2 linked regions of the Callithrix jacchus genome follow. The protein of the gene in region 1 purifies or fractionates together with the protein of each later gene. This does not show direct contact. Links are inferred from orthologs where the notes say so. Each region holds a gene or a part of one and is shown on either strand. Other genes may lie near its edges. The genes, in order: HNRNPH2 and PLOD1.

Region 1 (3,773 bases):
ATGGAAGAGATAATTTATTGCCATAACATAAGCCTGCTTCATTTTTATGTTTTGTTTTCAACACATAATAATTGTAAGCCTACTTCTTTTTTAACATACAAAGGTGCCTTCTAGTTTGTGGTGAAATAAAAAGGATTATTTATTTGCTTTCACTTCTTTGGATTTTAGAGAATACTATATTGGTAAGAACAGTCTCCAAAAGTAGTTCAACAGTCCTGTAGACATGGTAATAAGTTTTTTTTAAAGAAAATGTTCAACTTTAATATTAATCAAAGAAATACAAATTAAAATAGCAAAGATATCATTTCTCAACTAACAAACTGGCAAAGATCAAAAAAACTAACGTACATCAATAAGGAGGGTATGAGGGGGAAAAATAAAACACACAGTCCTCTAGGTAGAAAGATAAAGTACCAGAATCTTTCTGGTAACACAAATCACAAGCCTTAAAAATGGGTATATCCTTGACTCAGCAATCCCATTTCTAGGGATGTATCTTAGAAATAACTAATGATATATGCAACAATGAACATATAAAGATGTAAATATAATTTTTAAATTAAAATTTTTAAGAGGGAATTATAAAATCAGTGTGCCCATATGACAGAACATAATAAAAATCAGAGCAAGATTTTTTCCAGTTTTTAAAAGGAAGATTTATTTAACAAGTTTCACTTAGTACAATACATCTAAATGGAAATCACAATACAAGGAAAGATTTAAACCAAAGCCTCAGAATCTCATACAAACGACACGACCAAACTTCTAAAGTATTGGTATTACATCTTAAAATTGTCCCGTATCCTTTAAAAAAAAAAAAAGTAAAAGTGTACACTCACGTGCCTTACAGAGTATTAAACCAAAAAGCTAGAATTAACAAACATGCCAAATGTTTTCACTTTGAATCGTAGACACAGCTCCTATATTTGAGTTTTACAGAAAAGCATGTTTCTCAACATGCATCCAAAGTTTTCAATGTATTTGTGGTATAAGAGCAACATTTAACATAAGTGAAACTGCATTAACCTAAATAAGCTTACTGCTTAAGTACACTCCTACAACATAACTAACTTGAGAAAAGCTAAAAATCGTTTAAACAGTTATGGTCAATACTGAACTTTGTTATTATGTCCTAGATGAATGTTTCAGTGTTCAAAATTACTGAACTTGAAGTTTCAAAATAATCTCAACTCCCACTTTACAGTAAGCATGAATCACAAGCCTGTAATGCAAAACTGTTAAACTTAACTTTTGTTTTCTTAAAAAAGGAGAAAGATAAAGAAAGAGAAGCTGACCAAGAGTGATCAGTATCAATAATATTTCCCATATGCCAATCATACTGGATATACTAGACATCCCTCCCATTCTATTCAACTCCCATAAATGTACAGCTTTTATATCTAGAGTAGCTGTTTAGTGCTCCTTCTCTACCTAAGCAAGGTTTGACTGATAGTCACTGGAGTTTTCCTGGAGAACTTGGTCATATCCACTCATACTGCTCTGACCACCATAACCACCTCCATAACCACCACTCAGCTGCTGGCTAGCAGGACCGCCATAACTAGACTGGTTGGATAAGCCCATCCCTCCCATCATTTGGCTACCATAAGCGCCACCACTTGCCCCTGCTGTAGAATTCAAAAACAGTTCTACATAGCTGTGATCATAAGCCCCTCCACTTGTTCCTGCAGTAGAATTTAGGAAGAGCTCCACATATCTGTGTTGCATATTAGCCTTGTCTTTTGCCATAGCTGCCACAGCATCTTCATGAGTAGCAAATTCAACATCTGCCTCACCAGTAACTCTGCCATCGGGTCCAATTTCAATATGTACTCTCATGGGATTAAGAGGTGAGAAGAAATTATAAATATCATTCTCAGTGGCTCTGTAAGGTAACCCCCTCATGTGTACACAGTGCCCTGTGGTGCTCTGGAAACTGGACCCACCATCTCCATATCTATGATCAGACATTCCTGAAAAACAGTAATTGAGGTCTCTTCCAAATCTATCTGACCCAAAGCCATATCCATCATTATAGCCACCATAGTCATCATAGCCTCCATACCCTCCACCATAGGCACCACGCCTCATCCTTTCAAACCCAGCTCCTCTGCCAATGCTATTATACCCTCTGCCAGCCCCTGGCCTATCATAGGGACCTGGCCGCTGCATAGCCATGAGCTTTCGAGGGGGATCATAGTGGGTTCGAACTTCAGCTCGGCTACTCTTGAAGATCTCAATGTACCTGTGCCCTATTCTTTCCTTGTGTTTCTTTAAGGCCTTCTCAGCTATCTCCTGCGAAGCAAACTGCACAAAGGCTTCCCCTGTGCTTCGCCCCTGAAAGTCCACTGGCAGTGTCATCCCATTTGGCACAATTTCCAACCCTGAAAAGAACTGAACGATCTCTTCCTTGCTACAGCCAAATGGGAGTCCTCTAAGCCGGACGAAGCCATCGTTGGCAGTATCAGGGCTATTCGGACCTGTATGCTTCAACACCCAATCCATTTCAACACTGTTAGACTTGAATACTTCAACGTATCTGTGTCCCATGGTTTCTCTGTCCTTCTTCAAAGCCAATTTCACTTCCTCTTCAGATTCAAGTTCAACAAATGCTTCGCCACTTGGTCTTCCTTCTCTGGTGTAGATGAAACGAATACCTGATGTGCCATTTTGGATCTTGCAATCAGAGAAGAAGCGCATCACTTCATCAGCTGAGCAGGACCAGGGTAGGCCCCTGACCTTCACCACGAACCCCTCCCTGCCTTCTGTGCTCAGCATCATGGTGACTGTTGGGCTCTTGGTGGCAAGTTTGGCTCAACACAATTTTGGTGTAGCTGGAAAAAAAAAATTAGAAGACTACTGTCATGGAAAAATGCTAATACAGTAAAAGAGAAAAGCAAACTATTAATAGAAAACTCAATTATGCTGACAGCTTTGCTGTAAGACATCTGTATAAACAAAAAAGAATTCACCAAATTTTTAACTCATTCATTTTTTAACAGTTATTTATTCAATGCCTATTACGTGTTGGATACCATTAAAAATTAACAGCAATTGGCCAGGCACCGTGGCTCACATCTGTAATCCCAGCACTTTGGGAGGCCGAGGCAGGTGGATCACCTGAGGTCAGTAGTTTGAGACCAGCCTAGTCAATGTGGTGAAACCTCATCTCTACTAAAGATACAATTAGCTGGGCATAGTGGTGGGCACCTGTAATCCCGGCTACTCAGGAGGCTGAGGCAGGAAAATTGCTTGTACCCAGGAGGCAGAGGTTGCAGTGAGCCAAGATCACACCACTGCGCTCCAGCCTAGGCAACCAGGGCAAAATCCCATCTCAAAAAAAAAAAAAAAAATTAACAGCAACAAATAAATGGGAGATGTCAACAAATAAAAGATGGCTATATCTGAATATATAAACATAAAAAACTTCACTAGATCAAAAGATTAAACAATAATTAAAACACAAAACACAAGTTATATAAGTTCTTTATATAATATCCTTATATAAAAATGTAGGCAAATCAATAAAATCAGGGATATATTTAGGCTTCAGAGATAAATGAAAAAAAGACATTATTGGGAATTCACACATTCATTTTAGAAACATCTTGTAGTTGCCAAGTCCAATACTCGGCTCTAGCATACAAGAATCAATAAGCCCACAAAGGGCTTATGGTCCTACAGGGGGATTGTATGTAATTATTAAAGACATAAATGCAAATAGACATTATAATTGCCATGACCCTCTGGGTGAGGTGTAAGCACAGTATTAA
Region 2 (4,608 bases), on another chromosome or scaffold:
CCAGCCCTGCTGAGCCTCTGATCTCCACAGCTGTCTGTCCCTCACCGTGGCCAAACCAAGGCCTACAGGGAAAGGCAGGAGCTGGAGATCTGCTAGAAGTTTCTACAAATAGGACGAAGGGCTGTGGGACATCTGGCGTTGGCTCTAGGGACATCTGCCTGTTTGGATGATGCCTTTTATTCCCCCAGTTCCCTGTGATGGAAGATGTTGCTTTGTTGAAGGCTTCTTGTGTCTCCCACCTTGTTCTGGAAGCTCCCTCCCCCACACCAGAATGCACAATATCTCTTCCCTCAGACACGGGTGTCTACTGAGGTGAGGTGCTCTGTGCCCCCCTCTGATTGGGAGCCCCCTAAAAGTGAAAATGGTCCCTGTTTCTCTCCATGCACCAAGGCCATGGGTTTTGGGTGAGGGAAGAGACCCGCTGCCGACGGCACCCCACCCACCTCACTCCCCAAGACTCTACAGCAAATCCCGTTCCCCCCCAGCTGAATCCGCCTCAACAGCTGCCCTCCCATCCACCTGCCAGGGAAAGGGAGGAGCTGGCCTCTCTGGGGGCTGCTGGGGTGCCCCCCCCAAAACACACACACTAGTCAGTGAGCTGCTCAGGCAAGGCCTGCAGGGAAGATGAGCATTTCACTCTGTCCTCCCATCCAGCTGGCTGAAGGTCACACCTCAGCTGGGTCTGGGGGAGCTGAGCAGGCTCCCCAGGCAGCATTTCCAGGTAACAGCACCCCCCTCCCATTCAGAGGTGCAGAAATGAACAGTAGGTCTGAGTTCCAGACAATGCCCCCACCTCCAACCAGCTCTGGCAATGAGAGACCAGATGTTTAACCTTCCAGTGCCTCAATCTTCCCATCTCCAAAATTCGGTTGATGATTCCTTACTTATGAAAGGGATCCTGGCCGGGTGTGGTGGCTCATGCCTGTAATCCCAGCACTTTGGGAGACTAAGGTGGGCAGATCCCTCGCTTGAGGTCAGGAGTTCAAGACCACCCTGGCCAACAGGGCAAAACCCTGTCTCTACTAAAAATATAAAAATTAGCCAGACGTGATGGCGCATACCTGTGATCCCAGCTATGCAGGAGGCTGAGACAGGAGAATCCCTTGAACCTGGCAGGTGGAGGCTGCAATGAGCCGAGATCGTGCCACTGCACTCCAACCTGGGCAACAGAATGAGACTCCATCTCAAAAAACAAAAAAAAAAAAAAAAAGAGGCCAGGCATGGTGGTTCATGCCTGTAATCCCAGTACTTTGGGAGGCCAAGGTGGGTGGATCACCTGAGGTTGGGAGTTTGAGACCAGCCTGACCAACATGGAGAAACCCCCGTCTCTACTAAAAAATACAAAATTAGCCAGGCATGGTGATGCATGCCTGTAATCCCAGCTATTTAGGAGGCTGAGGTGGGAGAATTGCCTGAACCCAGGAAGGCAAGGTTGCAGTGAGCCAAGATTGCATCATTGCACTCCAGCCTGGGCAACAAGAATGAAACTCCATCTCCCCACCAGAAAAAAAAAAATGGGTCCCAGAACCTGGGATTCTTCTGGTGGTACAGTTCCAAGTTCTTCAGGAGGGTGGGCTGAAGGAGGAAGATGCCATGGAGGGTACTGCCAGTTCCGCTTGGCTTTGCTGGGACTGTCCATAGTCTGTGCCCTTCTTGGGACAGCCCTGGAGATGGCCAATGCCAGGGAGGGCTGAGGAGGTGGGCGGCACCCACTCAGGACAGTGGGACACATACTGCAAGCCAATCTGCCTTTAGGAAGTTGAAGGAGCACTAGACTGGAGTCCAGCTGACCTCGGACCAGCCACCTCTGGCTGGACCACCCTGGACAGTCACTTCACCTGTCTGGGTCTCTGTTTTCTCAAGTATAAACTGGAGGGAGGGCCAGGCGCAGTGGCTCATGCCTGTAATCCCAGCACTTTGGAAGGCCGAAGCAGGCGGATCACCTGAGGTCAAGAGTTCAAGAGCAGCCTGGCCAACATGGTGAAATCTTGTCTCTACTAAAAACACAAAAATTAGCCGGGTATGATGGCGCATGTCGGCAATCTCAGCTACTCGGGAGGCAGAGGCACAAGAATCACTTGAACCTGGGAGGCAGAGATTGCAATGAGCTGAGACTGCGCACTGCACTCCAGCCTGGGCGACAGAGCAAGGCTCCGTGTCAAAAATAAATTAATTAATTAATTAATTAAAATTTTTTTTAAAATAAACTGTATTGAGGAAGACCAGCCTGGCAGGGGCTGAGCACACCACAGGGGGCACGGGTGAAAGGGCAAACGACTCCACAAAGTGAGCTACACCTTCCACCCTATCCTTCCCTTGTCCCCTTTAAGACCCCTCACTCCCACAGTCATGAGGTTTCCTGGCTCTGGAAGCAGACGCCTGGGTGGGTGGCGTAAATCCTGGTTCCAAGGCCCACAAGTTGTGTGATCTTGGGCAAGTGAATGAACTCTGGAGCCTCAGTTTGCCCAGCTGGAAAACGGGGATAACAGAAAGAAACACGGGGTGGCAATCATGCCTAACGGATGCCTGGCCCACAATGAGCGCTCCGCAGAGTAGCCACTGGCCGTTGTTATTATGAGAACTATTATTATTTGAGCTTTTCTGTGCTGAATGGGACTCAGCTGTCACCCTTTCCTTCCCGAAGCAGGAACCGCAGCCCCAAGAGGGGAAGCGATTTGTTCAAGCCACCAGCAAGTAAGTGGACAAGGAGCCGGAACCCAGACTCCCTCCCCAGCCCAGGCCTCCCATTCAGGTCGTACCCAGAGAGACAGCCCCAGGACTGGCCCTCCCGCTGGGATCCGCGCTCCAGCCCCCGGCCTTCGCGCCCTCACCCTCCGGCTTGGCGTCGCCCTTCGCTTCGGCCAGGAGCAACCAGCCCAGCGGGGCCAGGAACAGCAGGGACCACATGGCCAGGTTCTGGGGACTATCGGCCGACCCGGCGGCGCTGGCAGGGCTGGAAACTTCGCGACGGGGCCGCAGGTCCCGCTGCCACGCACTGGGCCCGCCCCGGGGGCGGCACCGCCCCTCTCCGCCCCTCCCCGCCCTCCCCCGCGCCTGCCCCGGGGGAAGGGTTTTTCTGCAGACTTGCCCGAGCCCCGGCCTCTCCGAGCGCGGGCGGCTCCCTCCGCTCGTCGGTGCAGCTCCCGGGGCTTCCGCCTGGCCCTGCCTCCTCCCCCCTCCCTTTTCTGCGGGGGTTTACTGCGACCAGGAAAAAGGCTGTGAGAGGAGGGCGAGGCCACCATTTCTAGACCCCAGATTCCGCGCCAACGCTCCATGGCATCGATAGCCGTAAGCCTCGGTTTGCTAGCCCGAAAAGTGGGGCTTTTGATAGCATCTTTTCTTTGGGTCCTGCACGGGTTAATGGCGTTGCCTGTAGCGCACTTAGAGCAGCCCCAGGTCAAGCCCCAAGGAAGTCAGCTTTAATGATTTCAGCAGTCCTCCCCAAAACCCAAGGGGTGAGGGTGGATAGGGATGCGTTCAGAGACATGGACACCCCTCCGTGGTCCACCAGGACCGCTGGAAATGCAGAACGCACCTCTCCATTCTCCACCCCACAATCCCCAAAAGGCAATCACTTGATCTGCCTTAGTGTGCCTGGGAGGCAAACCTTTGAGCCAAAGAAAGTCTTGCTTCTGAGGCTTTTTTTTTTCTTTCCAGTTTTTGGAGACAAGATTGCGTTCAGTTGCCCAGGCTAGAGTGCAGTGGCGCGATCCCCGCTCTCTGCAGCCTCGACCTCCTGGGCTCAAGCGAGCGTCTCATCTCAGCCTCCGGAGTAGGTAGGATCACAGGCCTGAGCCACCACCCCGGGCTAATTTTTCTATTTTTGTGGAGATAAGGGTCTCCCTATGTTGCCCAGGCTAGTCGCGAACTCCTGGGCTCAAGGGATCTTCCTGCCTCCCAAAGTGCTGGGATTACAGGCTGAGCCACTACATCCTACAGAGAATAATTGTGAAATGAATAAACGAATCAATGAAAGTTTTTAGGGCCTCTTCACACATGCCCAAAGCCCAACAATGGTCTCTAGACTAGGCAAGGGTTCCTGGTCCAGATGTCAGATGGGGACAGCCACCTCTGAACAAAAATCCTCCCTTCCTTGGAAGAAATCTCAGACAGAGACCCAGGAGTCTTTTCCCAGCAGATTAGGCTCCAGAGCAGGGGGTGGTGGGTGCGACCCTAGGCTCGCAGGGGGTTTCCCTGCAGGGACAAAGGGGTGGGAGAGAAGGAATGTCACACATGTCCATGGACAACATAGAGGAGGCTATGCATCTGTGCTAGAAAAAGATATTAATAAATCAACAATCAAAAGATATTAATAAATCATTCAGATGGACTGGGTGCAGTGGTTCCTGCCTTTAAGCCCAGCACTTTGGGAGGTCAAGACAGACAGAACGCTTGAGCCCAGGAATTCAAGACCAGCTTGGGCAACATGGTGAAACCCTGTCTCTACCAAAAATACAAAAATCATGGCATGTGCCTGTAGTCCCAGCTACTCAGGAGGATGGCTGGGGAGGATCCCTTGAGCCCGGGCGGTGGAGGTTGCAGTGAGCCATGATCACACCACTGCACTCCAGCCTGGGCAAGAGTCAGACCCTGTCTCAAAAAAAAAAC

The links.
Region 2: the proteins of HNRNPH2 (region 1) and PLOD1 purify together in Homo sapiens (affinity purification with mass spectrometry; 3 studies listed by BioGRID and IntAct, counting the BioPlex papers as one, with this or other methods). This does not show direct contact. The link is inferred for Callithrix jacchus from reciprocal best matches to the Homo sapiens genes HNRNPH2 and PLOD1.

Annotation. Positions count from the first base shown.
Region 1 is NC_133524.1:97,712,603-97,716,375, reverse strand, and holds the end of HNRNPH2 (heterogeneous nuclear ribonucleoprotein H2), read right to left. Parts: intron 2,835-3,773; 5' UTR 2,782-2,834; coding exon 1,432-2,781; 3' UTR 632-1,431; downstream 1-631. UniProt on the Homo sapiens protein: This protein is a component of the heterogeneous nuclear ribonucleoprotein (hnRNP) complexes which provide the substrate for the processing events that pre-mRNAs undergo before becoming functional, translatable mRNAs in the cytoplasm. Binds poly(RG).
Region 2 is NC_133508.1:49,817,917-49,822,524, reverse strand, and holds the start of PLOD1 (procollagen-lysine,2-oxoglutarate 5-dioxygenase 1), read right to left. Parts: upstream 2,998-4,608; 5' UTR 2,908-2,997; coding exon 2,832-2,907; intron 1-2,831. UniProt on the Homo sapiens protein: Part of a complex composed of PLOD1, P3H3 and P3H4 that catalyzes hydroxylation of lysine residues in collagen alpha chains and is required for normal assembly and cross-linkling of collagen fibrils.